Linked DNA regions of Cricetulus griseus. The protein of the gene in region 4 purifies or fractionates together with the protein of the main gene of each other region. This does not show direct contact. Links are inferred from orthologs where the notes say so. Each region holds a gene or a part of one and is shown on either strand. Other genes may lie near its edges.

Evidence for each region.
Region 1: the proteins of Pagr1 (region 4) and Ncoa6 purify together in Homo sapiens (affinity purification with mass spectrometry; 3 studies listed by BioGRID and IntAct, with this or other methods). This does not show direct contact. The link is inferred for Cricetulus griseus from reciprocal best matches to the Homo sapiens genes PAGR1 and NCOA6.
Region 2: the proteins of Pagr1 (region 4) and Wdr5 purify together in Homo sapiens (affinity purification with mass spectrometry; 5 studies listed by BioGRID and IntAct, with this or other methods). This does not show direct contact. The link is inferred for Cricetulus griseus from reciprocal best matches to the Homo sapiens genes PAGR1 and WDR5.
Region 3: the proteins of Pagr1 (region 4) and Paxip1 purify together in Homo sapiens (affinity purification with mass spectrometry; 6 studies listed by BioGRID and IntAct, with this or other methods). This does not show direct contact. The link is inferred for Cricetulus griseus from reciprocal best matches to the Homo sapiens genes PAGR1 and PAXIP1.

The regions. Positions count from the first base shown.
Region 1 is NC_048599.1:24,216,182-24,223,085, reverse strand, and holds part of Ncoa6 (nuclear receptor coactivator 6), read right to left. Parts: intron 5,460-6,904; coding exon 5,313-5,459; intron 2,451-5,312; coding exon 1,334-2,450; intron 1-1,333. UniProt on the Homo sapiens protein: Nuclear receptor coactivator that directly binds nuclear receptors and stimulates the transcriptional activities in a hormone-dependent fashion. Coactivates expression in an agonist- and AF2-dependent manner.
Region 2 is NC_048599.1:139,189,431-139,197,040, reverse strand, and holds the start of Wdr5 (WD repeat-containing protein 5), read right to left. Parts: upstream 5,069-7,610; 5' UTR 4,918-5,068; intron 1,533-4,917; 5' UTR 1,445-1,532; coding exon 1,364-1,444; intron 766-1,363; coding exon 657-765; intron 393-656; coding exon 319-392; intron 1-318.
Region 3 is NC_048601.1:94,827,007-94,833,910, forward strand, and holds part of Paxip1 (PAX-interacting protein 1), read left to right. Parts: intron 1-1,082; coding exon 1,083-1,178; intron 1,179-2,181; coding exon 2,182-2,319; intron 2,320-2,823; coding exon 2,824-2,945; intron 2,946-3,671; coding exon 3,672-3,856; intron 3,857-4,719; coding exon 4,720-4,763; intron 4,764-6,904.
Region 4 is NC_048596.1:73,736,058-73,743,416, reverse strand, and holds Pagr1 (PAXIP1-associated glutamate-rich protein 1), read right to left. Parts: upstream 4,979-7,359; 5' UTR 4,549-4,978; coding exon 4,076-4,548; intron 3,949-4,075; coding exon 3,866-3,948; intron 3,095-3,865; coding exon 2,895-3,094; 3' UTR 2,668-2,894; downstream 1-2,667. UniProt on the Homo sapiens protein: Its association with the histone methyltransferase MLL2/MLL3 complex is suggesting a role in epigenetic transcriptional activation. However, in association with PAXIP1/PTIP is proposed to function at least in part independently of the MLL2/MLL3 complex.

The DNA.
Region 1 (6,904 bases), on a different chromosome or scaffold from region 4:
GGCTTTAGTTTGAACATTTAAGCTTATTTAAACAAAGCACCCTTGTTTGAGTTTTCTCTCTGTCTGTCTCTGGTCTTTACATTCCCAGCCTTTCCCCCTTCTCTGCAAGGTCTCACTATGCTAGCTTCCTCGGTGTTGAGAGAACAAGTGTGAGTTGCCATACTTGGTGTAGCAATTTGTCTAAGACTGTTTCATGCTCATTAGTCACCGGGCCCTGTTGGTAATGTCTCTGAACTCCAGTTTTATGACTAAAGGCTGAAAATCCACCTCAAACAATATTCCTTCAGGAAACATTTAGTAAAGTCAGAAACATAACTGAGTATGTAGTTTTAGGATATGCAATGTAATTGTCAATTAGCCTTCCTATTGTGTCTTATGAAAGAGCTCCTCTGCGGAACTTGTACTGAAAAGGAAACTGATTTAACAGGACCAATCATGGGTTTAAGTTTTTAGGGACAATGAGGGACTTTTAGAGAAAAGGCACAGATGCAAATGAATAAATATTTTTTTTTCATTTGTAAGATGGCAGGGTGTCTCCATGAATACATATTGTCTCACAAATTCCCCAAGAGCCAAGATAACATTGAAGTCTGAGCCCTGTGGAATGACAGTGGGTAGCCCTGGTCACTTTTCAGGTTGATAGATACAATTCCCATTGAGACTACAGAATTAAAAGGCCTATCAGCCAACTGTAAGGTACTGATTTTGTCTGAATCCTTAAACAAATAAACTAAAAAGAAAAAAGAAATAGAAAAATGTTAACACTATTCGGAAACTATTAAGTAGCAATTTTTGGGTGGTGGTGGCGAACACCTTTAGTTACAGCAGTTGGGAGGCACAGGCAGTTGGGCTCTGAGTTTGAGGCCAGCCTGGTCTACAGATCGAATTCTGGGATATCCAGGGCTACAACAGAGAAACCCTGTCTCAAACAAAAAATTTTTTTCTAGGCATGTTAATGTTATTTTGTGGTTATATAAGAGAACTATCTTTATCATTCAGAGTGGCACTGATATATTTACAAAGCAAATTTACCTTAAAGTAAATAAAAAGATCATAGAAAAGAGTACAGATGAAGATAAGATAAACTATAAGCTGATAGTTGTTAGACAATCTCACTGTACTATCCTAAATTTAGAGAAAGGTTTCATGTAGTCCAGGTTACAGGAGTCTACCACCATGGCTGGTTTATGCCCAGATTTTGTGCATAGTAGACAGACACTCTACTGAGCCACATTCCCCAACTCTAATTTTAAATATGTTTAAAAATTTCTATCAACAAATGTCTAGACAGAAATAAATGAGCAATATTCAAGGTTAACTGATTATAACCTACTTTAGATCTTGCTGACAATTTTTCTTCTTCCGAGGCGGTTTCTTCTTCTTCGGTTTATTTGCATTCGTATTATTTTGTTTATTGTTTACACCAAAATGGCCTGCAGAAATGTCACTTTGCAGTAAGTTGACCAACAATGGACTTGTTAGTGTTACATCCTTATTGACTGGGAAGCCTGGATTTTGACCACAAGACATCTGATTTCCATTGGGTGCACCACTGAATGGTGCATTGAAAGACATCCCATGGCCTGAGAAGTGGTTTCCCGAAGCACTGTTTCCCTGCATGCTCTGCACATGTGGGGGGACCATGTTGGTTTGTTGCATGCTAACATCAGGCAACATCTGAGACAAGTTGACATCATTATTTGCTGTAGTAGCAGGATCACCATGCTGCTGGGCCATGTGTGGGCTGGGTCCTGGGGGCCGCAGAACCTGCCCCTGAATCCCCATAACCTGAGATGGACTGCTGTTTACAGGCCCTTGCTGGGATAGCATCTGTCCTGACATCTGTCCTGTAAATTGCACCATGTTTCCTTGCATGTTCGGAGTTGGTCCCCTCATTATCTGTGCTGGTCCCGGCATGACATTGGATTGGTTCTGAGTGTTAAATTGCTGCTTATTCCCCTGCATCTGATTGGTCATTATTTGCTCTATCATTGGGTTCTGTTGGAGCAAAACTTGCCCCTGAGGCCCCATCATCTGGTTATGTGGTGCCATCATTTGTTGGCCCTGCTGGGGAAGCATCTGCTTGGGTGGGGTCATCCTTTGGGGTGAAGGCCCAAGATTTTGGTTCTGAGGGTTCACCATCATCTGGCCCTGTGGCATAAGCTGGGCCCTTGAAAGGATCATAGGGTTCTGAGGGTTCAAAGTTCCTTGTTGCTGGACCATTTGGCCCTGAGAGGGTACAATCTGTTGGTGCATGCCCATCAGCTGAGATGGTGGGCCCTGTTGAGGCTGGCCTTGCATGTTGCCCAGGGTCACCTGAGGAACCCCAGAGCTACCAGCCTGCTGGTTGTTTATGTTGCCATGAATTCCCATGAGGCTGGATTGCATCATATTTGGTGGCCCGTGAGACACCTGCATCTGGTTTTGAGGAGGGCCAGCTCCTTGACCACCTTAAACAAAAACAAAGAATGAAACATCATCATCATATTACTAAGATACTCAAACTACCTTACTCAGAAAGACATCCATCATCCATGTATCTAATAATCAACACAAATGTACTGTTTGACACATTTTCTGTGTGGTATTTTGACTCTGGAAGTGTGACATAGGATGGAAGTAACTGCTTATATATTTCATGATCATACAGCAGGAGAAATGTATCTTTACTTTTATATAGTAACTTAAAGATAACATTAGAAAGTAAGTTTAGGAGCTGGAGAAATGGCTCAGAGGATAAAAGCACTCACTGCCTGCTCTTCCAGAGGTCCTGAGCTCAATTCCCAGCAACCACATGGTGGCTCACAACCATCTGTAATGAGATCTGGTGCCCTCTCTGATCTGCAGGTATACATGTAGCCAGAACACTGTATACATAATAAATAAATAAATCTTTAAGAAAAAAAAAAGGAAAGTAAAGTTTACTTTTAAATTAAATGAAGCATTACCACTGTTGTAACTATTTTATTCACAATAATGTAGTTATAAGCCTTAACAAAAACCATCATGGGCTAAAAATGAGCTTTATTATGAGTAAGTGAGAGAAACAAAGAATGTACCAGTGTCTTCCAGAAAAAAACTCAGGAATACTGTAAAGACATTTAAAAAATGCTTCTTGGGAAAGTAATTATGCTTTTCAAAAACTATGTGTGTGAAATCTAGATGTTGTACTTTAAAGAAGATAATATACAATATTTCCTAACACGAGGTTTTCTGCTGAAATGACAAACTTCTGATCTGGTAGCTGTGGACAGGAGATGTTAAAAGTTTAGTGATCCTACTCTGTGGCAGTCCCTTGTGGACCACAGGGGACATGTTCTAAGTTCTCTTTAAAATAGGTCTTGGCCTATTGCATTGTTTGTTTGTTGGATCCTTGGGATTTTCTTATAGCTACCTGCTTTATGCCTACATCTCACTGGTGGTGATGGAGACTGAACCCAGGGCCTCCAATGTGTTCAATTAGAGCTATACCCCCAATCTAATCTACCCCACAGTTCACCTGAGTAAACCTTCAGAGCACTATATAGCAGGTTGCTCTGAAACAATGTGATCCAAGCTGCCTTTAACTATTACGTTTGGCTTAAAATTTTTTCAGCTGGGCACAGTGGCTCCATGCTTGTAATCCTAGCACCTGAGCGGCTGAGGCAAGAGAACTGTCATAAGTTCAAGGCTAGCCTGGGCTACATAGTAAAATCCTTTATCAAAACACCAAAAATAAAAACAAAGGCCACTTACATGCTGGGCAACAACTCTACTATTGAGCTATATATCCACTGAACTCATGCTCGTAACCACTGAACTATCTCTCCAGCCCCAAGAATTAGGAACTTTATACATTTTTAAATCTCCTATAACATTAACTCACATAACTCAGAAATGCAGTTTTACATTGGCAGACAGGAAAAATCAAATCATCTGTCCTACTCTTCTCTCATCCTTCAAGAGACAGTATTTACTTTTTATTTATTAAGTCCAATTTTTTTCTCATTCTCTTTTCTTTTCTGAGACAGGGTCTCTCCATGTAGTCTTGGCTGTCCTGGAACTATGTTGGCTAAGGTGGCCTTGAACTCCGAGATCCTCCCACCTTTGCACCCCACGTGCTAAGATTAAAGGCATGTGCCACTGTGCCTAGCCTCATTATTTTAAAAAGAATAAAAAAAAATTAATGCATATGTATCTGTGTGAATGCATGACACATTCATGTCCATGGAGCCAGAGGAGGGTGTCAGATTTCCCGAAGCCAGAAATACAGGAGGTTGTGAGCCACTGACACGGACAATGAGAATTAAGAGAGTAGAAAGCCTTTTTAAACACTGAGTCATCTCTCTAGTCCCTTGTTCTTTATTTCTTAGAAAATTGAATTTTTATTTATTTATTATTATTACTGTATGTGATGTGTGTGTAGGCATATATATGCCCATTGGCAAGGAAGGCCAGAAAGAGAACTTTAACCTGCTGAGACATCTCGAAGGCTCTATAACTTTTCTCATTCTTTAAGTAATTTACAATGAAAGTTGGAATTCAGAAAAATTTAAGCTAATTTAGTTCAAACTACTTCAATGAGAAAGGGCAAAAAATTACTTAGTTCCTAAACAACCAGAAGAACCCAGAAACATGAAATTTGGGCTTACAAAACTGCTTCAAGGAGTACTTGTTAGCTAATCCACTGTATGTTATTTCCTGTCCAAACTTTCTTATATATACTATACTATTGGTACTGACTGAATTGGAAAAGTGCCACATTGCATACCAGAATTTAGATACTCAGCATGAATGAAGCTGATATGTACTATCCAGAGATTTTAAAAGTTGCAGATGTTCAAACATGCCATAAACCCATATAACTGTGAATTTATGGCTTCCTTTCCCAGAAATGCCTTTTTCCTGAGCAAGTTCTAATCTAAGGGTCAGCAAATCAGGCCTACGATTGGTTTGAAAACAGGCAAGGATTTGGAACACTGTTGTCCTCACTAAGTAGAGTTGAATAACTGCAATACAGACTAAATGACCTAAGCTATTTACTATTTAGCCCTTTATAGAAAGAAGAGGAAGTATGTGTGTGTGAGCGCGTGTTCATGCATGTGTATGACTCCTGCTCTAACTGAAGTTTCATTTTTTTTCTCCTAAGGTGTTTCCTGGTTCTTGAAAAAAACTAAACAAAACAAAACTTATTTTCTGTTATTTCCCAAAGATTATCTACGTGTGAGGAAATTAAAGGATTTGTTCATCTGTATACCTCTATTGTCTATCAAAGTATTTACCACATAATCAATGCTCAATAAATGTGGCTAATTAAATCAAAATAAACAAACCTCCATGCTGGACATTTTGATTTGCTTGCAGTTGAAGGGCTCCTGAATTCCCAGGGGTGGTTGCTGTGGTGGAAGGCACCTGACCTTGCATAAAGTTCGGATTGGCCTGTCCTGCTGAGAAGCCAGGTGGGAGGCGTTTAGGCATTCCTTAATAGAAAACAATGAGTGAGGCAGTTACCTAGCAAATTTATACTCCTGCTGAGATGGAATGAATAAGGAAGGATGAGCTGCATGAAGTTTCCACTGGCTTAGCTCTCTCTGTCACACTGGTAGGATCTTTAATAATAAGGTTGGGAAAGATGGTTAAAAAAATCAATACAATCCCTTACATGAGCATTGTCAAAATGAAAAAGAAATACTAAAAAATTTCCACTCAGAACATGCCAAGGAAAAGATGGCAATTTGCTCCCTACATGTGATCTGAGGCCATACCATAGTAAGGTTTGAGGGCTCACTTTTCTCTGTAATAACAATGACTCCCAGTATTTATATATTGCAACACAGGCACCAAAAGATTATGCTAAATTCTCTCATGTTCAAACAAATTGGTATGAAATAGTATAAAGAAAGAGTTGGGTCCCAATTAAGGATAGATGGGTGATGTATTTTCCCCCCTTTGAGGAAAATGAATGACAATCGTTGCAGAAAAATCTCCCTCCCCCACCAGCGTTGTGCTTATCTCTTTGGAAGAGACAAGAGTTCACAGGAGCTTCAAAGTGAGGCTGCATTAAACTTATGCCTTTCTCTTGTAAGATTTGCTGTGATTCTGATAGCTATGGTACCAAAAATCATGCTCTAATGTAATCCTACTCAAGTTTACAACCTTTTGGAAGGCCTAATTTCAGAAAACAAGTTTGCAGTAAAGAGAATCTCAGATCCACTCATGTGCATACCGCAGGTCTTGATGTGGTGAGACCACCTAGGCTCTATAAAAGCAACAATACCTAAAGCTCTCTCAAATTTGTTCATTAGGGCCAGATTTTCAATACCCTGAAAAACTCTTTGTAGACAAATATGCATTTGTCCTTTCATTACAGCAACAAGTCCCCATTTATATGCTTTCGTTGTAATTAAGTCAGTAATCATATCTGCAGAAGGGACTACCCAGATTCTACTGATCTAGGGCTAGATGCCCGGAATAGTGAAGTTTGGAGCAGAAACATTCTTACATTTTCTAAAAATGTCTTAGAATTGAAATATTAGAGCCTGTATTTCAACAAAATCAATTATAAGAGAGTGAAAGGACTGATGGGCAACTTAACTTTACCAGAAACCATGGGAGCATGCCTTTGCTATGTTGCATTGAAGATGCAAGGGTTTTTTTCTGGGTAGGCAATGGGTGTCTTTTTGGGGGGATAGTCTTATCAGGTGAGTTTTACTGACACTCTCTATGCCTTACTGAAAAGCTCCAAGCACAGTCATGTGCACTAGGTCAATGATTAATAAGAATAAATAATAAACATGGAGATGGATAAGTTTTACTGTAATCGTTTTACCTCTCACACATTAAGCTCCATTGCTTTTTCTTCATACAAGAGGCACCTTACAAAATAAATAAATAAATCTCCTTTAGGTATAACTAGTGGAATTCC
Region 2 (7,610 bases), on a different chromosome or scaffold from region 4:
CTAGACTCAGTCACCTATGGAGGCTTAAAATCCTTGCACCAAAAACATAAGGCAGCCACGTGTGGTGGTGCAAACCTGATTCTGAGGCAGGATGATTGCCAGCCTGAACTATATAGTAAGACCCTGCGACCACCAGCATTAAAGACAGGCCTGACAAGCCAGGAGGTGGTGGTACAGACCTGTAATTCAAGCACCCAGGAGGCCAAGACAGACAGATCTCCAAGTTCAAGGTCAGCCTAGTCTACAGAGTAAGCTCCAGGACAGACAGGGCAACCAACCATCTGGCTCAACAGCCAGTGCACCTCACAGGAAACCTACCAGCTTGTGACCAGATATGGTTTTCTCAAACTTTCCATCATATGCTCCCCATATTTTAATGAGTTTATCAGCAGCTGAAAGAAAAGGAGTTGGAGTTAGAAGAGGTTGTAGCTATTCCCCTAAATAACAGGGCCTAGGTCACTCAGTGAAGTAAATGTAGACACAGGTAGCCACTCCACCCCACGCCCACCCACCACTTCATACAAACAGGCAATTGCATGCTGAATGCTAACAAACCTATGGGAGCAGTAAGAAGTAGCAGTCAATGCCCACACCACCAACCACCTTTCCTCAGCTGAAGCTCAGGCTTTCTAGCCAAAGAACTGAAGGATACTCACATGAACTTGCCAGCCACTCCCCATTGGGGCTGAACTTCACGGAGGACACAGCTTTCGTGTGGCCAGCCAGGGTGAACTTCAGAGCATAGTTTGGCTTAACAGGTGTAGGCTGTGGGAGACAGTACCAATTAGCCAGAGGCTACTACCACTACCCAATCAACTCACTTGATGCCCAAATTTTAATTATTAGCTGGTTCCAAAACTCATACACAAGCACTTACTACCACCTTATCTGACGTCACACTTCAAACTGTCAGTGTAACCCTATCACTCTCTTCAAAGCCCCTTCTTCCTCTGGAGTCCCTACCTCAGCACACCAACAATTTGTAATTTTTTTTAGCCAACTAGAGTGGTACATATCTTTAAATTAATCCCAGCACATGAAGGGGAGAGGGAGGAGGCAGAGGCAGACATATCTATATGAGTTCAAGACTAGCCTGATCTGCATGTTGTGTTCTTTACCAGCCAGGACTATAGGAAGACTCTACCTCAAAACAATCTGTACTTTTTGTTAAACTCCACCCCCACTGTCTTAGGTCTGGGAATCTCTGACAGCACCTAGCATTTGGCTCTGTGTGACCACTGCCAGGTGGCCAGAAACTCACACTGCCAGCATACCTCACTGGGCAGAGCAGCCTGCACTAATAAAATAACATCCCCAAGAATCTCTCCAGCCTGTCTGCCACAGCGGTCCCTGTGGGACATACCTTGCTCTGTGTGGCTGATGAGGAAGGGGTAGGCTGTGCTCTTGCAGCCTCTGTCTCTGGCTTCTTCTCCTCCGTGGCCATGGCTCTGATGCCCACCGGGCAGGACACCGTGAAGGGGGAGTCACAGTGGAAGAGGCTGTCAGCTAAAGCGTACGCTACAGTATAGGGCCTATAAACAAATCCTCTCTTTAAAAAAGGTTACTGGGAGGGGACTGAATGCTGTTCCAGAGGACCCGACTTTGATTTCCACTTGTAAAACATCTTTAAGTCCAGTTCAGAGGATCTGACGCCCTCTTCTGGCCTCTGTAGGGACTACATACATGTGGTACGCAGACATACAAGCAAGCAAGACAAAACAAAAACACACATAAGATAAATTTGGCCAGGTATAGTGGCACACGTCTATTTCAGCATTTGGGAGGCAGAAGTAAGTGGATCTCCGAGTTTGAGATGGTCTACAGAGTTCTAAGACAAACAGGGCTACACAGAGAAACCCTGTCTCAAAACAACAAAAGGTTGTTGGGGATAAGTATAATAACTCAACCAGAGAGCATTCACCTAACATGCATAAGACCACCATCTACCCACCCACCCACCCTGCCAAGTATAAAAGCAATCATTCTCAGGAAAAAGGGAAAAACATGACCACTATATTGAACCCTGCAGCTAATAAACTGTTCCAAGCTAGGCATCCTTTAACTGTCACCCTGTCCCAGGGCTGAAGCTTCGAATGTTCTGTGTGATGACCCGCTCTTGACCTCTTTGTGAGCTTAAGAAAAACTTGACCCTCAAGGCAGCTTCCCATTGCAGTACTAGATGTGTACAGGCATGTGAGCTTTGCTTCAAAGAGCCTTGGGCACAGTTTTTAATTAAAAAGGCTTTCTGGCCGGGCATTGGTGGCGCACGCCTTTAATCCCAGCACTCGGGAGGCAGAGGCAGGCGGATCTCTGTGAGTTCAAGACCAGCCTGGTCTCCAGAGAGAGTTCCAGGATAGCCTCCAAAACCACAGAGAAACCCTGTCTCGAAAAACCAAAGAAAGAAAAAAAAAAAAAAAAGGCTTTCTGACAGAAACTGACAGGCCAAGTGACAGGAGGTAGACCTTCTGTGCAGAAGTTTGGGAGCTTACCCTAAAATGCACCCAAGGAATTTGATCATGAAAACACAGGCATTATGAACCCAGTGGCCACCACCTCACCAGCTGCTCCCTATGATCTCACAGGCTGCAGGTACAAAGCTGCCTTCTAGAATAAGCTCACAGAGCTCAAGGACTCAGTGCCCACAGTACTACAAAAGAGCTACAAGAGTAAACCAGAGTGGTCGCTGCCTCCACAGGTTTCCTCAGGAGGAGCAGCGAGAACAGCAGTGAACTGCAAACTAGATACATGCTACTGTGCAGAGGAAAGTAGTTATTCTGGTCAGCACTCAGCCTGAAATGTGTACACCTGCAACAGTTAATTCCATTGCAGCAATAGGTCCATCACCTGGATGCACCACACAAAAGCGCACCATGTGACTTGGAAATGAAGTAGTAGTCCTCAAAGGAGAACTACTAAGGCATACTTGCAAATGTCAGTCACTGGTCATGGATTTCTCGGCCATCAATATAAGAATGATGATGTAAATTCTAGCTTTGAGGTTAAACCTGAAACCTCACACAGACCCCATGTAAAGACTAAGGCAAATGAAGGACACACACAAAACATGTCTCAAAGTCTTCAGTCCTAGAGGAGTAACAGTTACAATGCCCACCACAAAGGGCACAGGTGCAGCCCAGCTGTTTTACCTGCAGCCCGTTCCATCACGGTCATAGCTTGCTGTAGCTCAAGCCCAGGTGCAAGGACTGGAGGAGGATAGATCCCCTAGGTTCTCCAGGGAACAAAGCTCTGGTGCCCAGGAAATGTCAGCTGTTTGGTGTTTTTAGCTTTTTGGAAGCAGGGTCTAGCTATGTACCTGGTATTCAAAAGCCTCCTGTTTCAGCTTCTGGGTACAGTTGATGTAACAGGCATATATCAATCACCAGGCCTGACCAGGAGCTTATTCTTTTTTTTTTTTTTTCCCCGAGACAGGGTTTCTCTGTGTAGCTTTGAAGCCTGTCCTGGAATTAGCTCTTGTAGACCAGACTGGTATCAAACTCAGAGTTCCGCCTGCCTCTGTCTCCTGAGTACTGGGATTAAAGGCATGTGCTACCAACGCCAGGAGCTTATTCTCAATGAAAATTTGGCCATATCATGGATTCTCACAGCTACCACTTCTGCTGACCATACAGGTAGCAGGAGGAGCTGAGGATGCTGAAAGTCCCTTTCACAAAGCCCAGCAAATCTCCCCAGTAAAAGGACAGGGCAACAGTGTAGGGGAGGTCTCTTGGGTGGGAAGGTTCTGGGAACTAAACAGCTTCTTTTAGATAAGGAGATTCACCTAGCAGTGGGTGGATGACTTTGCAAACAAGTGTGCACCACCACCCTCCCCACCCCGCAATACCCTGTGGACAGACAGGGTCTTTCTTCAAGATGTCAAATATTAACATATGAAAGCACCACGCTTTAGGCCACATTTGGGAGTCTCTGAGTTCAAGATCAGCCTGATGTACAGAACAAGGTCCAGAACAGCCAGGGCTACACAGAGAAACCCTGTCTTGAGGAAAGAAAAAAAAAAAAAATCCCACCAACTTTAGCCAGTCTTCCTCACAACATTCCGGAGGCTGGAGGCTCAGGAGTTCAAAGCAGTTAAAAAGAGATGCCAGCAACTACATAAGTCTGTCTCAAAAGAAATCACCGATTTCCAATTTCACTGGGCAGAGTCCTAGACAGAGCATCTAGGTGTGCAAGTTTTAAGCCTACGGAAAAGCAGGATTGGGGAGGACAGCTCTGAGAGGAAGGTATGCTAAACAGAATACTCGGAAGGTGGCTTGGGCTTTATACTACAGTGAGCCTGGCCATGGAAGGGCAGCAGTCACTACTCTCTCTCCAATCGAATGCAGATTCCTGGATGGCACTGAGTGCACAAGTGTAGAAGAGACAGAATGTTTCACTCAGGTGATTGCAGCTGGCCAACCCAACAAAGAGCTACAACCCATTCTCTCTGGGTTCTAGTACCTTGGTCCTAGTAGCCCTGGCTTCACACCACTGTGTGCTGACCCAGACAGTGTTTACAACCCCCTTGACTAGAGTTAGGCCTCGTCAGGTAGAAATTTGCACTGGAACTCAGGTGAAGGTTGTGCTGGCAACTGGCAACATAAGAGAGGCGCCAAGTGGCCAAGGAAACCTGGGAGATACTGGCTGGGTGAAAGACCGTGAATCCCACCCCCAAGGACACCAGCCTGAGGTGTGCTTCGAGGAGCTCGCACGACTAAGGGTCTAGTGGCGCAGTGGGGGTTGTCGTGGGAGGAGTGGGCCATGACGACCACAAGGGGCGGTGGGGTCGGGGCGCGGCCCCAGAGGCGGCGCCGGGCCCGGCCTGAGGCCCATGGAACACGTGCGGCGCTGTGGATCCCGGAGCCCGCTATCCCTCGTGGCCGCCGCCCGCCTCGCGCCCAAAGGGCCGGCTCACTCTCTTACCTGCCGGGGCCGCGGCGGCGGGGCCGGGCGCTCTGGCGTCGCGTCGGCTAGCTCTGCGCGCGAGAGCAGACGAGCTCCTGAACTAGGCGGCAGCGGCGCGGTACGCGGGCGGGAGTGCGCGTGCGCGGGGGGCGGGGCAACGGGCGGCGACGAGGGTCAGAAAAATTAGAGGAGGAGGAGTGCCTTAAAGGGGCCGCCGGCGGCTCTCGCTTCCTGCTTGACAGCTGGGATCCATTGGTTGCAGACCCGTGGTGTCTGCAGTGAAGGATGGGACGGAATGTGCTTTTGTGATTCTCCTGTTGTTCCATGCTGTGTCGCCAAGCTGATAATTACAGCTTGGCCGTCCTGGCCTGTGACTGCGCTGGGGTCTTGGGAACCCTCTCGGTGCCACTGGTGGAGGTCCACGAGGTCCGGAAGTCCGGAGCTCCTGCGGCCTCCCCAGCCTACCGCAGGGCGGGGGCTTCCTGCCGCTACAAGCCACAGCTCAAGTTGGACACATTTGCCTCGCCTCTGAGCTAGGCGACAAGGAGGCTGTGCTACGCAGCCCCATACTCAGAAAAAGGTCTTAGAAACTATCGCCGCAAGGCCGGGCGGTGGTGGCGCACGCCCTTAATGCCAGCACTCGGAGGCAGAGGCATCTGGGATCTCTGTGAGAGCAGCCTGGTCTACAAGAGCTAATTCCAGGACAGGCTTCAAAGCTACACACAAACCCTGTCTCGAAAGAAAAAAAAAAAAAAAAAAAAAAAAAAAGGAAGGAAGGAAGGAAAAAAGAAAGATGAAAGGCAAGTGTCCCTAACACAGGGGCTCTAGGTCCTCTCGCTATGCATGCATCTGGAACCACTGCATCATTCAGTTGCTCCTTAGTTTGGGTGCCCAGAGATCACATTCCAGGCAACCGCAGTATCCACTACAATCCAGCTCCTGTATGGCTCAGAGGCTCATTTTAAAGTCTCTGTTTTCACCGTAATTCTCATTTTCACAAGACAGCTCCAGACAGGCAGGATGCCCGAATTAAGCAAAGTATTCACAGCCCCCTCTCCTGTAGGCCACCTCTACTCCTGTCACTAATGGAGGAAAGACCCAGAGAGGACACAAGGACATAATGACAACCTGAAGACAGGCTGCATCTTCATCTTACTATCTAACACACATGGTCTTAGAATCTTGGAGATGGTGGCGGCCTCTTATCTCCCAGTGTGGGAGTATCAAATATAGCATAGGAACCTGTGCAAAGGAAGTGAGCCTTTGGAGCTGAGAATGTGTGTGGTTCCCATAGCTATAGGAGTGAGAGAAGACTGGCAACTGGCCCAGAATCCCCTTCCAAAGAGGACACAGAAACAGCCGATGTGATACTGTGTGCCTAACAAACCTGATCCCTATGTTCGGAGCCCTGAATGGAGCAGAGTGTAAGGTGGGAAGAACAGTATCTCCCATATCTGCCTAGCTGCCTGGACTGGAAACCAAACCTAATTCTGAACTTCCTTCTGCTCAGATAACACTCAAATCCTTCCACTTCCATCCTCATCCTGGCTCTACCTAATATGCAGCCTTTTCCAGATTCCAGCCAGAGGAACTGCTAAAATGCAGGTCTGTCTGGGGATGTAGCTCAGTTGGTAGAGTGCATGCAAGAAGCCATGTGTTCAATCCCCAACACCCATAAACCAAGTGTGGTTGCACAAGCACTAGGAGTTAGAGGCAGAGGATCAGAACTTTGAAAGATCATCTTTAGCTACATATTCAATCAAGACCAGCCTGGGAGGCCCGAACGATGACCCAGAGCCCTCAGATTTCCAACTTTCGCTCAGTGGATTTGAATGTCTTCTTCTCAAGGGAAACAGCCTTCTGGTTTAAGTGGGAAACTTCACCATTGTTGTCATAGCACAAACCCTGAAACCAAGTAACACAGCAGGGTAGAGCTGTTGTTGGGGTCAGAGGAAACACTGAAGGAAGACCCCAGACTCAAATAGTAGGTAAGAGCAAAGAGCATTTATTACTATACCAGCATATGTAAGGCTGTTCACCTGCACAAAAATAGCAATGACCCCAAGAAGCGTGTGCAGGCTTCCTTTAAGCACAGTTAGGGGAATTTTAGGGACAGTTAGGTCATCTCAAACATAGTTGGTTAAACAAGCAGCATTACATTAGTACACTTTTTTGTTTTGTTTTCTACAAGACAGGGCTTCTCTGTGTAGCTTTGGAGGCTGTCCTGGAACTAGCTCTTGTAGACCAGACTGGTCTTGAACTCCCAGAGATCCACCCGCCTCTGCCTCCCCAGTGCTGGGATTAAAGATGTGTGCCATCATTACCTGGCTTTATTTATTATTTTTATGTGCTGGTGTATGTACCCGCATGAGTTTATATGCACCACATGTCTACAAGAGCGCAACAGAGGCCAGAAGATACATCCCCTGGAATTGGAGTTGCATGTTGTTTCTAACCTGAAATGTGGGTGCTGGGGATAGAACCAGTTCTTCTACAAGAGCACCAAGTGTTCCTTACTGCTGATCCATCTTAGTCCCCTAGCAATTCTTATAAATACAACATATCTAGAAAGTTCCTCTCCCCTCTCACTTAAAGCTCTCATAACAGCCAAGCAAACTTCCAACAGCCAACATCCATTTGGATTTGCCATCTGGATCCCCAGATAAATGAATACGACAGCACAGCTGCTAGTTCCTTCTGAAATAAGACCT
Region 3 (6,904 bases), on a different chromosome or scaffold from region 4:
ACATTTCTATGGAGAGAGTGAGAGTAAGATTGGATGCTTTCAAGACAACTGGTGTGGAGGGTGAGGGGAGGTAGTGGCCAGCACCAGGAAACAGAACTTACACAGGGGGAACATTTGTCTTAGGGTACCGTGGGAAGCCACCTGGATGACGTGGCTATCACACAGGAAAGTTAGTAGATACTGTGTAAGATGAGAAAACAGTGAACGAGCATCGCATGTGTGAGTTAGGATATGTTAGTAATTGTCAGGACTGAGCTTAGATGGCGGGAAGCAGGTGCAGGCAGGGACTGATAGCTTTCTCATGTCACCTGGAAGCTGAACTTATGAAATAAGCACTTGAGTCAGATTGAGAGCAGGTAATTTTCAGTGTTGAGCTTACATTTCAGCTGCTGTGCAGTGATGTTCAGATCTCTGTGGTGACAGCCTTTGGCTGATATCTAGGGTATATAACCAGCATCGGAATAGAATAGTTCTTTCTCCAAAACTGGAATCAGTTTTCATAAATGTTTCATAAATGCTGTGTGCGTGCGTGCGCACGTGCAGTGCCCACTGAATCTTGGGGCATTGGGTCCCCTGAAGCTAGATATGCGGGCAGATGCGAGGGTGCTGGGAACAAGCGCGAGTGCTGGATGAGCAGTACTCATTCATCTCTCGGAGCCATCTCCAGCGCCTTGACACACACTACATTCTGACGCAGTGTGAGGGTGTGTAAGGGCAGTGGACCTGCTCTGGGAGCATTTGGTAGTTAGAAGTGACACCACTGGTGCCCAGTGAGAAGTCAGAGTGAGCACTGGACACCATGCACCACCTGGGCAGTTTCCCCCACACCCTCTGCTGACCAAAATGTCAGCAGTACTGAGGTGAAGAGGCTCAGTTTTAAGTAAGCACATTGCCTTCTACTTTCTGTGAAAGAACTGAGTAGCAGTGCTGGGGGAAGGTTCCGTGACTGGTATGACTGTTGCTGTTAGGTACTGTTTATCCTTTGGTGAATGAGCCATGCCAGTGTAGCCTGACTTCTCTTCATAGTTGTCTGAGTTGAAATCCATTCTGTTGTATCCCGTTTGGCTGCATCTTTTGTGTAGATAATCCAGGCGCATGGCGGCACTGTGGACCCCACATTCACAAGCCGATGCACACACCTTCTCTGCGAAAGCCAAGTCAGCAGTATGTATGCACAGGTAAGAACGGTTGGTCACCGTGACTGGCGGCAGCGGCATTGTTACATGCAGCCTAAGAAGCAGGTGCATAATATATTTGTGGAACAGTGTCATGTGACCCACATTGGCCTTGACCTCAGTGTGCAACAGAGGACAATCTGAAGCCTGTGATCCCTTCGTCTTTACCGCTTGAGTGGGAGAGGCACACACCTTTCGTGGTCCTGGGAATTAGACCGAGGACCTCTTGCACATTAGACAAGTGATCTGCTGCATCCTCCCAGTGCTTACAGTCTTCCAGAGAATATTTTCCTGCCTCCAAAACTCAGAAAGTCACTTCGTTGGGTTAGATACTGTTGTGGACAGCTTTGGGCAATAGAGAGGGAAGAGGGAGAGGCCCCAGGTAGAGGCAGGGAAAGGGCCGGCCCTCCTAGTCACCATCCAGATGACCCTCAAGATGGGACGTGGAACCTTTTGCTGTTTTGCATGCAAGAGCTTCTGGGGGTTAGACCCTGAGAGGGCAACAGTGAACCCTGGGCTGTAAGCTCCTCCCAGCATCACCTCCTTATCCCTGAGGTTTTCATTTCTTTTTGTAAAAATGTTGGTGGTAGTTCAGATGGATGCTATGTGTACGTGACATTGGCTTTAGGAGCACCTTGTTAGGTACCGGTGACTGTCCCACTTTAGACTGTGAGCTTCACCTGTGGTTAAATTTAGGAGTCTGTTATATGTACATGCTTTGTATGCAGGGTGTAGGGGTGTTTCCCTTTGTGGGGGGATTGTGTTGTGTGGTTTCTGACTAGTTTTTCTTTGAGGTTTAAATTTAATCATGTGTATATGTATTTCTTTGTAAGTGCATAAAGTGTGTGTAGGTGCCCTGGGGGGCCAGAAGCCTCAGATCCCCTGGAGGTGACCTCTTTGATTCATTGGTTCTGGGAAGGTGGCGCTGTATTATGTAAGCCAACCATTTTCTCCCTGGTTCTAAGCAAAGAGCCTGAGACAGCATGACTGTTGTTTTGTTTGCCAGGCGCTACGGGAGAGGAAGCGGTGTGTCACTGCACACTGGCTCAACACAGTCCTGAAGAAGAAGAAACTGGTGCCGCCCCATCGAGCCCTGCATTTCCCTGTGGCATTTCCACCCGGGGGCAAACCCTGTTCACAGCATGTGAGACCCGTCCCCTCTCCTGCTTGGCTTTCCACAGTTGTGTCCCAGACTCCTGGGTGCTTCTCACCCTCTCCTCTGTGCACCGTGCCCACCGTAGCAGTGGCAAAGACGAGGCGTTTTACCTCATTGACACGCCAAATGCTAGGATGAGTCAGCTGCTGTTGGGCAGACGTAGGCAGTACTTGTGGGCACTTGCAACCCAGTGATCCAGAGTCTGGATGAGTGAGGAAAATAAAGACCTGCCCTTTGTGTGTGTGCTCCGCACAGTAACCTGAAATTACCTGAGCAGCATTGCACAGATGCCAGAAATACTCCCTTGTGAGTGCAGCTCCTCATCTCTTCTTGCCACGAGGATGCTGTATGCTTCACGTTATCAGTGAAGTTACTCTCATGATGCTCTCAGGAATGGCAGGGCCAGATACATCCCCAAGGCCATAGGAGCATGAGAAAGTCTAATCAAAGCCGCTTTGTGTTTATATTCTCATCTGCTCTTTTTTTCCCCAGATTATCTCTGTGACTGGATTTGTTGACAATGACAGAGATGACCTGAAGTTAATGACATACCTGGCAGGTGCCAAGTATACGGGGTACCTGTGCCGTAGCAACACTGTCCTCATCTGTAAAGAGTAAGCTGGGCTTGGAAGCTGTTTCCGTCCTGTTTGCCTTAAGGAGAGGGACGTGGAGATAGTTGGGTGGTTTTGTTTGTCTGGGGGGAGGTGTGGCCTCTTGTAAGCCAGGCTGGTCTCAAACTTGTGGAGAGCCTCCAACTCCAAGTACTGGGATCTCAGGCATGCGCTACTACTATGTCTGGCTGCAGTCATTTTCTAATACACTGTAGTTTGTGTGAATTTCAAGTGTGGAAGTACATGGAAGAATAACTCTAAGGCCTTTGAGCGTTTGTCTTCCCAGCTCACACTGTCCTGGCTGTCCTGGAACTCACTGTGTAGACCAGGCTGGCCTCAAACCTGCCTCCGCCTCCCTGGTGCTAGTATTAAAGGTGGGCACCACCATGCTTAAAAACAATCTTTGTCTCTATTTTTAAAGAGGCATCACTGTTCACGGAACTGTCAGAAACACCTCTAAAAGACTTCACTTGGTGAATGGAGGAAATAATAGAGTGTGAATTGATGGATGTAGATACCAGGGATAGGGTTTAAAGTCGGATACTGACCCAGTTGGAGACTGGGGTTAACTACCCTTGGCCTCCAGCTTGGCTTGCTGGCAGCTTTGCTGAAACATGCCCACCCACTTTATTAGTTCTTTTTAAAATTGGCTTTTGTTGAAAATAGACAAGAATTCATGGCAAGATGACACTAACATTGAATAAATGTGATTTCTCATTAAAAAAAAAGACCAAGTGGTTTGAAGTACGAGAAGGCCAAAGAATGGCGGATCCCGTGTGTGAATGCACAGTGGCTGGGGGACATTCTGCTGGGAAACTTGGAGGCCCTGCGGCAGGTGCAGTACAGCCGGTACACCGCCTTCAACCTTCCGGACCCCTTTGCGCCCACTCCTCACTTGGTCCTAAGTCTTTTAGGTCAGTGATGGTTCATGTGCTTTCACTGTGGCTTGACACCTGTCAACTCTTCATGTCACCTGCTTCTTTAGTTCCCTTCTGCACCTCCCTGTTCCCTCCCCCTGGTTTGGTTGTTGGGTTTTTGTCTGAGAAGCATTTGGAGCAGGGAACACACCCCGTTTTCTCCTCAGGGTGATGCTTTCTTTGTCACTGTCAAGGTTTGGGAACTTGCTGTCACTCCCTGATGCTGCCCCCTGCCTTGTGTGGTCAGCTTCTCAGGGGAGGACTGTCCCATGGAAAATAGGGACATAAGATACAGCACAGCTTTTTTTTAAGGTCTTTTATTCGTGTCTGTAATATGTGTAATACAGCACTGGGTTTTACCTCTGCCTTTGAGAATTGAGCATTTCTCAGGTTGTCTTTTGGTCACACCTGAGAAGCCCAGTTGGATTTAGAAGGCTTTCATCATGGGAGGGGGTCTTCTTTAATCCGCACTGTGCAGCCATTCTGCATATCTGGGCCTTACCAAGACTTCTCTGCATATCTGGCCTCAGGTCCGCTCTGTTGCACGGCACAAGCTGCTCCCTACGGCCAGCACCTGTGTATTGGCCGTTGTGGGACCTGTTGGCCCTGCTCATCGTAACTGCAGTCTTCCCAGAATGGGACACAGCACCCATTACATACCCTTGGTGAATCATGGTGTGTAAAGCATCAGCCATGCTTGCCTCACCTGTCCTAGAAACCTGAGCTACAGTATTGTAGCTACACTTGCCCTGAATGAGTGTTATGGGCAAACCCTGTGTGTCCAGGCTCCCTGCGTCGGAAGGGCTTCCAGCAGGTTGGTGTGAATATTCCATATGGAAGATGATATCTTTCTCTTTCAGATGCATGGAGGGTCCCAGTGAAGGTGACTGCAGAGCTCTTGATGGTACGTCAGCCCCACACCCACAGTGGCCATTGCTGTATGTCAGCCCCGCCCCCCCCACCTCCCCCTCTGCCCCCCCCCCCAGACTGTGGCTGTGTTACTCAATTGCAGTGGACATGTGAATGCTAGCTTTTAGTTTAGTAGCATATGAAGGTTGTCCTCTCCATGTTATAGGTTTGTAACATACCAGTTTACATGTTTCTCTGTTGTCAGTGTGGATAGTGAGTGGGCACATGTGTACATGAGCTTTGCTAGCTTCAGAGAGCTCTGTCACACTCCAGGAACCAAGGAACAGAACTGTCAGATGTCAGGTTTTTTTTCATAGCTAGTGGGCAAGGCCTTCAGAGACAAAGAGACACTGGAAGTGGCAGAGGCGTGGTCCAGCACAGGCCACAGGTCAGAGTTCCCTGTTTTGGGTGAACATTCCTGCAAGCCCTTCCTAGGCAGGGAGCCTGGACACAGACAGGGCTTGCCCACAACACTCATTCAGGGCAAGTGTAGCTAGGACAGGTGAGGCCATGTCATATTGGCTATTCTGGAGAGCCCATTTAGCATAGAACATTCTGGAAGTTGTTAATTGCAGATTGACTGGTAGAGGGTATCTATATTCTCGCTCCCACTCTACTGTTTGTTTTGTGATTGGAGACAGGTCCCATGTAGAGTCCAGCCTGGCCTTGAACTTGATGTATACCTGAAAATGACTACAGTGTGAGCTACCTACCATGTCCAGCTTTAACCTATAGCGTTTAAGAATGGGTTTATATAGCCAGTCACATGAAATGTGTACCTATAGTTCTTTCTGCTCGGGAGGCCAAAGTGGGAGGGTTCTTAGAGGGTAGGAGTTTAAGGCCAGCATGGCAAGGCCTTTATTTCTTTTTATTTCTTTTGTTTGTTTGAAACATGATCTCTCTAAGTAGCCCTAGCTATCCTGGAACTCACTATGTAGTCATGGCTGTCCTGGAACTTGCTAAGTTGACTGGACTGGCCTAGAACTCCCAGAGTTCTGCCTTTTGAGTGCTGTGATTAAAGGTGTGCACCACCATGCTCAGCCCTCTTGTGGCACATTCTGTAATATACAGAGATGATTCCAGGCTGTGCACTTCAGGGCCTGCTGTCAGATGCATATTTTTCTCTAGCTTAAACTAGTAATTATGACTTTAATATAGCATGACCAACTCAGGCACATCAGCAAAAGCCAGTGTCCTTCCTGCTCATGTGGTGAAAGACTTCCTGAGGTTGGCCCAGATGGCAGAGTGGCAATCAGAGTCATCTCTCAAAAGCCACATGGCCCGTACTGAGAAGTGGGCAGCCTTCCCAGGCTGGTCTCCTGGGCCTTTGTATTAAAGCTCCAGCTCCCAGGCAGGCTGGATCCCTCCTGGCTAGGGGTTTTTTGGAAATGGCAGAGGGGGACTTGGAGGGGGACTTGGAGCATCTGCAGGAGGTAAGGACCTTCCTGCAGACGCTGTGTGGTATGCTGCTTAGGCCTCTGAGGCTGCTAGGTGCACAGTGCAGAAGAGGTGTGCTTGGCTTTCTTTCCCTGTTGTGTTATGGCAGCATGTGTTGGAAATGTGACTTGTTGTTAAGTGAGTCTGAGCCAGATTGAGAAAAGGATCATGAACACAGTGATGCAAGCAGGTACGGTGGTGGGATATGAGGGTTTGTTTTGCATATTTGGTGGTGCTGGGTAGTGGTTCTGCACCCAGCCCTTTTTATGGAGTTGAAACAAGGTCTTTCTAAGCTGCATAGGCTGGCCTTGAACTCATTCTGTAGCCTAGACAGGCCTTGAACTTTGCAGGCCCAGCTAACTAAAGTATGTTTTTTAAAAAAAAGCCTCTGCGTTACAGTGTGAAGACTTGAACACTGTGGCATAGTGTAGGTAGCCCAGGCGGTGAGGCCTGCAGGCAATTTCCATTCTCCCCTTCTGTCTTGTCTTGTTGGTGTGCTTCTGCCCTGGGCAGTGGTTTGGGCTGGTGGGTGAGACCTTCCACTGAGGTGGGACGGGCTCTTGCTGGGGTCAGCACCTCATGTTCATGGCAGCACTGCTGATCTGACTGTCACCTGATTTTCTGTTGTAGGCTAGTCTTATTTTAAGGAGATGTATTGGTACTGATAGTGTTTGTCATGTTCTAAGTTGGGACACAGGA
Region 4 (7,359 bases):
AAGATGTTACAAGTGAATGCTAATCAGCAAATGTGAGGAGTGTGTAGACCAGAAGTAGGCTTGGAACCTCTGATCTAGAGCCAAGTTTTCTCTCCTGGACAAGACTTGCCTGGGACTTTTTCCTTTTTTTTTTTTAACTTTTGTCTGTGTATACATGTGTGTAGGTATCCATGGAAACCAGAAGAGGGCATCAGAGCCCAAAGAGATGAAGCAGCTGGGAGCCACCCAATGTGGGTAGTGGCAACCCAACTGTGAGTAGCAAGCCCTCTAAGTCGCAGGGGCAACTCTCCAAACCCCACTTTGTTTTTTAAGAGAAGCCTTATTTTGCTGTGTAGGCTGGCCTTGAACTCTGGGGATAAAACAATCCTCATGCCTTTATTTCCCAAGTAGATGAGACTAGAGGCTCATGCTCCCATGCCTGGCTTCTGGCTGACATTTAATCCTATCAACGCTGTCTACCAGGCCTTACTCAGGATCTGTAGGATCAAAGTTTCCAGGAAAATTCTGGAACTTGTATCTAAGGCATAATTGCCAACTCCTACTTGGAACAACCCGCCCCATCACATTTTAAATGCCTTTGATTGAAACATTCTAGCCTAAGATGTCAAGGTCTAGCTCAGTCATTTTGCTCTTGAAGGTTGACCAGGCTTCCCTTGGGTCACCATTACTGGAGGCAGTATGGCTTGTGAGGCCATGGGTCATAGAGGATATGGGTGAGGTTGTTGTTGTCCAGGAAATGGCACCAATAGACATTCAAAGGGGAACATTCCCATAACCTGAGCTAGTGACCAACCTCTGCTACACGAGGAGCTGGAGTTTGGCACACACCACAGGAGACCTGAATACCCAGCACCCAGGCACTCAAGGTGGTAGGTGCCTTGCCCAACTGCCCCACCTCAGGGCAGGGTAGATACTCAATGTGCCAAAGGTATAAGTAGATAGTTTCCTGGAGAGTCATCCAGTATTCCTGTGATGGTCATCTTCTCTTCCCTGTCCCAAGGGTCCTCAGGTAGGAAGCAGAGAACATTAGGAACAGCTGCCCTAACCACCATCTCCTGCCAGAATTGGGCTCCAGTCACAGATCCCAAGTCTCCAGTATCTCAGGCTGATTGTCCAATTGAGCTTACTATCATTTACGTCCTCTTCCCCCAAAGACACACGTTCTCCCTAAACTCTGCACCTTTTGGAAATCAAGCTACCCTTATGATCATCCTGTTAGCCAGCGCTCAGTGCTGAAGCCCACAGCTCCCACAGCCCTGTACAAGGCAGCAGAGCCCCCACAACTGAGAGAGACCAGGGTCAAGTCACATGCTAATCATTCAAGAAGAGAAAGCAGAGCCCAGGTCCTTGGGGGAATGAGGATAGGGAAGTAAGACAAAAGATGGAGCCTGCATGGAAGCTGTAACTTTGTCTAACTGGCTTAGTTATTTGAGACAGGACCTTACACTGTAGCTCAGGCTGTGGTGGCACTATGTAACTCAGGCTGGCCTCAAACCTCTGAAATCCTCTTGCCTCAGCTGCCCAAGTGCTGGGATTAGAGGTGTGAACTGTGTCTGGCAAGGTTCCCCTGGGCTTTTTTTTTTTTTAAGAAAAAAAGTGTGTTAGGGGCCAAAAACAGGGTCTTGGGTATGCAGTTATGCTGTGAAACTGAGTTACACCCCAACCATCAGTTTGCAGAGTCTCTGCCTAACATGCATGAAACCCTAGGTTGGAACCCCAGCACTGAATAAAACTAATAGCGGTGGCAGGCAGCTACATCAGCATTCATTCAGCAGGTGGAGGCAAGAGGATCTGACACTTAAGGTCATCCTGGGCTATGTAGAGAGTTCAAGACCACTTAGGAAACACAAGACCCTTTCTCATAAAAACAAAAGCCAAATAAACAAACCAGAAAAAAAAAAAAAAAAAAAGAAGAAGACAGGGTCTAACTATGTGTCTAAGCTGGCTTGGAGCTCCGGGCTCAAGGCACCCTTCTGCTTCAGCCTTCTGAGTGGGTAGTTATTAAGTGTGTGTAACTTAATAACTTAAGGGCCTGACCAAAGCACCCCCTTACCCCCAATCTTCTGTGAGATCCCGATGTCAGGGAGGCTTTAGGTTTTGGGAGTGAGGGTATCGGCAGGGTATTTCAAAACCCAGAAAACTTTTAGAAAGTGAAACCTCTCAAGGCAGAGCTGCCAACGCCCTCCTTCCTGCCCTTTGTGACTAAGGTGTAACTGCCCCAGAAAAAAGGCAGCACTAGAGAGCCAGTGGGACAGACACCTACTCATGGGCTGGAGTCTGGGGGTCCTGCCAGGGTCTCGATCCCGTACTCACATTTAGCAGCGGTGTAGCTGGTTGCTGCAGGCCTTGAGTCAGGAATTTCCCTACCCACACTGGGGATGACTTCCCCATAGGGCTGGACAGGCAGGGGCGGAGCTTGGGTATTTAAAGGGCCCTGCAACTGTATCTTTCCTCCTCCAGGCTACAGCTGAAGAAGACACTGCAGACTGGTGCATACTCAGTAGTTTCTGCCTCAGTACTGACTGTGGGACTGTACTGAGAATAGGAAGTGTCAGAGGACCAGACTGGAGGGGATGATGGCTGGGTACCTTTGCCCTTTCAGGCGTCACTATTCCAACGCGGAGGAATACAGTTCTGCCTCTGCCCAAGTGACAGCACATGCCTGGGTTCAGTGGCAGTCTCTGCCAAAAGACTCATTCTGCATCTTTTATTAGGCTCAGCAAACCCAGCTCAGAACTGCAAGCAGACATTCAACAGAACACACACTCTCCTGCAAGGCACTGCGCTGGGAGCTTGAAGCTTTTCTCTGTGACAAGCTTCCCAGAGCCTGGGCTGGGAAGGGCTGGCCACGACCAGCAGAAAAAGTCTGCACCTGTAGGCCCCAGCAGCAATAGTCAGTACTTCCGTTGCCGGGGAAAGAGACTGCTCCCGGAGGATCGGAGCGGAGGGCTGGCAGGGCTGGGGCTCTCTGAGTCTAAGCTGAAGAGGTCTCTCCCAGTGCGAAGGATCTGTTCCTCTAGTTTCTTATGTCGCTTCATGTCCGAGAGGACCTTGTCCAGGCGGGCTTCGCGTTTCTGGCTCCGGGCTGAGCTTCCTAAGAAGGTAGGAAGTGAGACAGGATTGAGGCAGCGAGCACCTCCGGCCCCTACACTTAGAGACCTTGTTGAACACATCCATTTTAGGCCTCAGCACAGAGGAGCTAATGCTTCAGGCTGGGCCACACACAGGATGACTGACATGTGATGGCTGGGGAGCATACTGGGTGTGTGTGTGGGGGGTGACAAGTGCAAGGGTCCTGGGGCACTGGGGTGGGGATAGAGGACAGACAACTTAGATTCTCCCTGGTCATGTTACCTGTAATGGAACCCTCTGGAGGACTACAAGCAGAGAAATGACAAGGACTACTCTGGTTGCCAAGACCAGAAGCAGGGAGACCAGTTAGAGCTGTGGAAACTGTCCAGCAGGAGAGAGATGGTATTAAAGGTACATCTGTAGACATGGAGCTAATGGAACTTGCTGTTGGCCTGACCAGGTGGGAGAGAACTCAATGATTCTGAGTAAGTCTCAGAAGGCACGTGGGCTGGGATGGCAGATCAGTTCTGGGGATGTACACAGAGCTACATAATAGTGTCCTAGAATAATGACCAGCCAACTTTGAACTTCTGGGAATAAGATGAAATGAACAGGCAAAAGAAGGTCTGTGGGTCTCTTAGAGGAAAAAGTAAGGCACTGACCTAAGCCAGAAATACCCTCCTCCTGTGTGTATGCTCCATCCTGCGGCTGGTTTGATAGCAGCCGATGGAACACTTTGGGATACACAGAAGAGGCCCGGGGCCTCCCCTCAATTCTTCCCTCTTATTCGTACCTGGCGTACGTCTTCTGTCAATCAGTGAGTCCTTCGGTGTCATTGGCTCATCATCAAAGTCAAATTCTGTAGGCATGTGCGGCCTGAGACAGGGTGAACAGAGAATGACGGGTGAGGGAGGCCCTCCCAAACACCTGCTGGCTCAACCCTCCCTCCAGTTTCTGTGCTCAGGAGAACAGTCCCAGGGGCAACGTAAAGTTATGGTCTCACTTTTCCTCCTCCTCCTCTTTGGCCTCCGGCTCCTCATCTGATCTCTCCTCTTCACTCTGGGCTTCAGGAGTAGGTGGCCGGCGGGGCAGGATCTCCGCTTGAAGCTCCAGAGTACCCTGGGCAGCCAGCAGTTCATAGAGACGCTGGATTTCGGAGGGTGGGGGCATCCAGGACTGCCCATTGGCCGGCAGCTCCACCTCCTCATCGCTGCAGGGCACGCACCAGTCTTCGGATTCTCCCTCGGCGCGCTCGTCGCCCGCAGCGTTGGGAGCTTCTAGTGCCTCCTCAGCCCTGGATCCCTCACGCCCGGCCTCCTCCCGACCTCCTTGCCCCTCTTCCTCGGCCTTACTAGCCGAGACAGAGGGACCTCCGGTGTCCTCCACCGCCAGAGCCTGGAGGCCGGAAGTCACTTCCCCTTCTTCAGACAGAGGCGCCGTTGTGCTGCCTGCAATGGTTCCATGGCCCAGGGACATAGAGCACTAGAGAAGCCCAGCAATGTAAGAGATTCTGGAGTACCAGACCAGGGCGCCTCCCCCAAAAGGACTGAAATCCACTGGGGTTTACGAAATCTCCAACCAGTCAGTCCAACACTGACTGCGGCCAGAGACCCGTCCCCAGGAGGGGGCGCTCAGATCCCGGCAAGGACAGACCCCACCCCACGGATCCAGATCCAGAATCCTGCCGTTCCCGGGGACCCGCAGGAACCGCGCTCGGAGCTGGAAAGGGGAGGGCCTGCTTTCTCGCTTTCACATCGCCCTCTCCAACACCTGGACGGGAGTCATTTCCTTAGAGCTCGCAGACCTAGTTCGTCAACTCAGCGGCCGTACAACCGGAGCTAAAGCCCGCCTCCCGGCCGCGCAGGGTCGCAGCACGCAGGCGCAGAGAAATGGCGCGCGGAGACTCGACTGTAATCAGAGCTACTCGAAAGAGGGAAGAGAAGGCTGGCGCATGCGCGGATAGGCCTGTAGGCACCACTAGCTTCGGCCCACACTAAAGATGGCCACTGCGGCAGCGCATGCGTATTTCGTTCACTAGGGCCTGCCAGAAAGCAGTGCCTTGACTCTGCAAACGAACACAGGGACCAACTGAGGCGAGTCTCATGCATTCTCTGTTTATTGGTGTTTACGACTCATGCAGCATTCAGCATACAAAAAGGGAGACTCAGTTTGATTTTTTTTTTAAAGGAATTTTAGTTTCTCCCAACTTTTTCTTAAAGGAAACAACCCCCCCTCCCCAACTCCAAAATGCATTGCAGCTGGCTCCCTGCCTCCTCAGAGGGCTGTGGCGTGCAACACCTTATCCTCTTAGAGAATAATAACAGAACTTCCCCCACCCCTCCCTCGCTCCCTGCAGCTGGGAACTTTGGTCCTTTTTTTTCTTTCTTTCTTTTTTTTTTTTTTTTTAATTCTATTGTTTACAAAGCAAGTGAATGGCCCCAAACCCCCAGACCTTCAAACAAGAAACTCTGAGGTTAAAAGCCCGAATGGGCAGGTCAACTCAGGCTGCGGCACTCCTTCCTCCCCTGGATGTTTAGAATGAGGACTCCCACTCTCACCTTCCCCCAGGTGAGGCCTGGCTTGCCAATTCTGCAACCCGGTAGGCACCTTAGGGATTGGGGTCAGGGTATGGCCTGGGCCCAGATGGTCCCCAGTAGAGAACAGTCAGAGCCCCTAGCTAGGCAGTCCTCTCCTCACACTGTCCTCCTCCCTCAGCCTGACCTAAGTACTGCAGCTTTTTACAGAATAAGTGGTGCAGGAAGGTGAAGATGGTAGCAGGGAGATGAGAAGGCAGAGGAGTCAGGGATGTGGCAAGGGGAGCAAGGTGTTAAGGAAGGAAGAAAAGAATGAGTTAGATGCCAAGACAATGACAGTTAGGAGGTGGGGGTTAATTCAGGTTCAGAGGAGTCCAGAGGCAGGAAGAAGTGCAGTGGGCTGGGAGAGATGCAGAGGTGCAGAGTACAATTTAGATGTTCAGGAAGGCTTCCAGAAGTGCAGAGAGGTTTTTCCGAGTGCAGGGTTAGGGGGGATCAAGAGGCAAGAAGGGAGATCCGCAGGCAAAAGTGCAGGGAGAAAGGAACCCTGTGGCTGGCAGTGGAGCCTGGCAGGATGCAGGAGCAGGAAAGAGCTGTAAACAAGGCTGCTCAGGCTCCCTTGGTCCCTAGGGATGGGGGCCAGGGCCATGGACTGGGTTTCCCCCAGGGTAGGGATGGACCCAAGACAGCTCCCAACAGGAAGGAAAGTCTTGGAATGCAGGGCAGAACCCCTCACTTATACACTGTGGGAGAGGAGAGGGAAAGACAAACAGGGAAGGAGACAGGAAGAGACAAAGAAATAGGGAGAACAGACAGGAGAGAGCAGGGTAAGGGGTTAGTAAAGCTGCCCTTGTCAACCCTTCCACTCCTCCCTTTCCTGTCCCCGACCGACCCCCACTCACCGCCCAAGTTGATGACGCAGGAGGCGATGATGATGAGGACCCCCCCCACCAGCGCCACGATGCTTAAGAGCTTGGCTACTCGGCCCAGACGTTGAGCCCCGTCCACGTCCCCCTGTTGCAGGCTGTTCCGGGACTGGGGTGCGGGTGAGGGGGGTTGGAGGTGTCATGGCCCAGGTCAACAGGAGCCAGCCCAGCAGGGATCAGGTGAGAATCCAGAGGAAGGAGGTCAGCCCATGGGGTTAAGAAAGGAAGGATTGGGAATGCAGGAGGAAGAGGGCACACAGGTCAGCAAAGTTACATGAAACATCTTTTCCCTCCCGCTTAAAGGGCAGGGCAGGGCAGGGCAGGTCGAGAGTGGCTTGGAGGGTTAGGTCCTGGGGAGAGGCAAGCAAAGGTCCAGCAACTGGGAAAGTGGGGTCCGTGCGGAAAGAGGAAAGGGAGTGTGTCATTTCTGGGGCTTTATTCTGACACTAGCGGGAAGCTGGGAGCACAGTATGCCTGGGCCAGGGTCCCTTTGGGGCTCACCATGACGGCATAAGCGAAGGCCACAATGTTGACAGGCCACATGGGGCAGAAGCAGGACAGGATGGCAAGGATGATGTAGTCCCGAGGTTTCTGGGTGCCATCACCCCCTTCCACCCCAGGTCCTGCCAGCTGGGAGCTGGGATGACGGCTCAGGCTACCTCGAGGAGATCCTGGATGCCCACTATGAGCCCTTCCTATTCTGTCCTCCTCAACCAGCTTCTGCAGCACCCGGGGGGGAGCCCCATTGGCTGGTGGTGTTTCAGTTGAGGGTGGTGAGTGAGGCTGGGGGGCTGGGCCCTCTTCTCCATCACCGGCCTGAAGGGGAA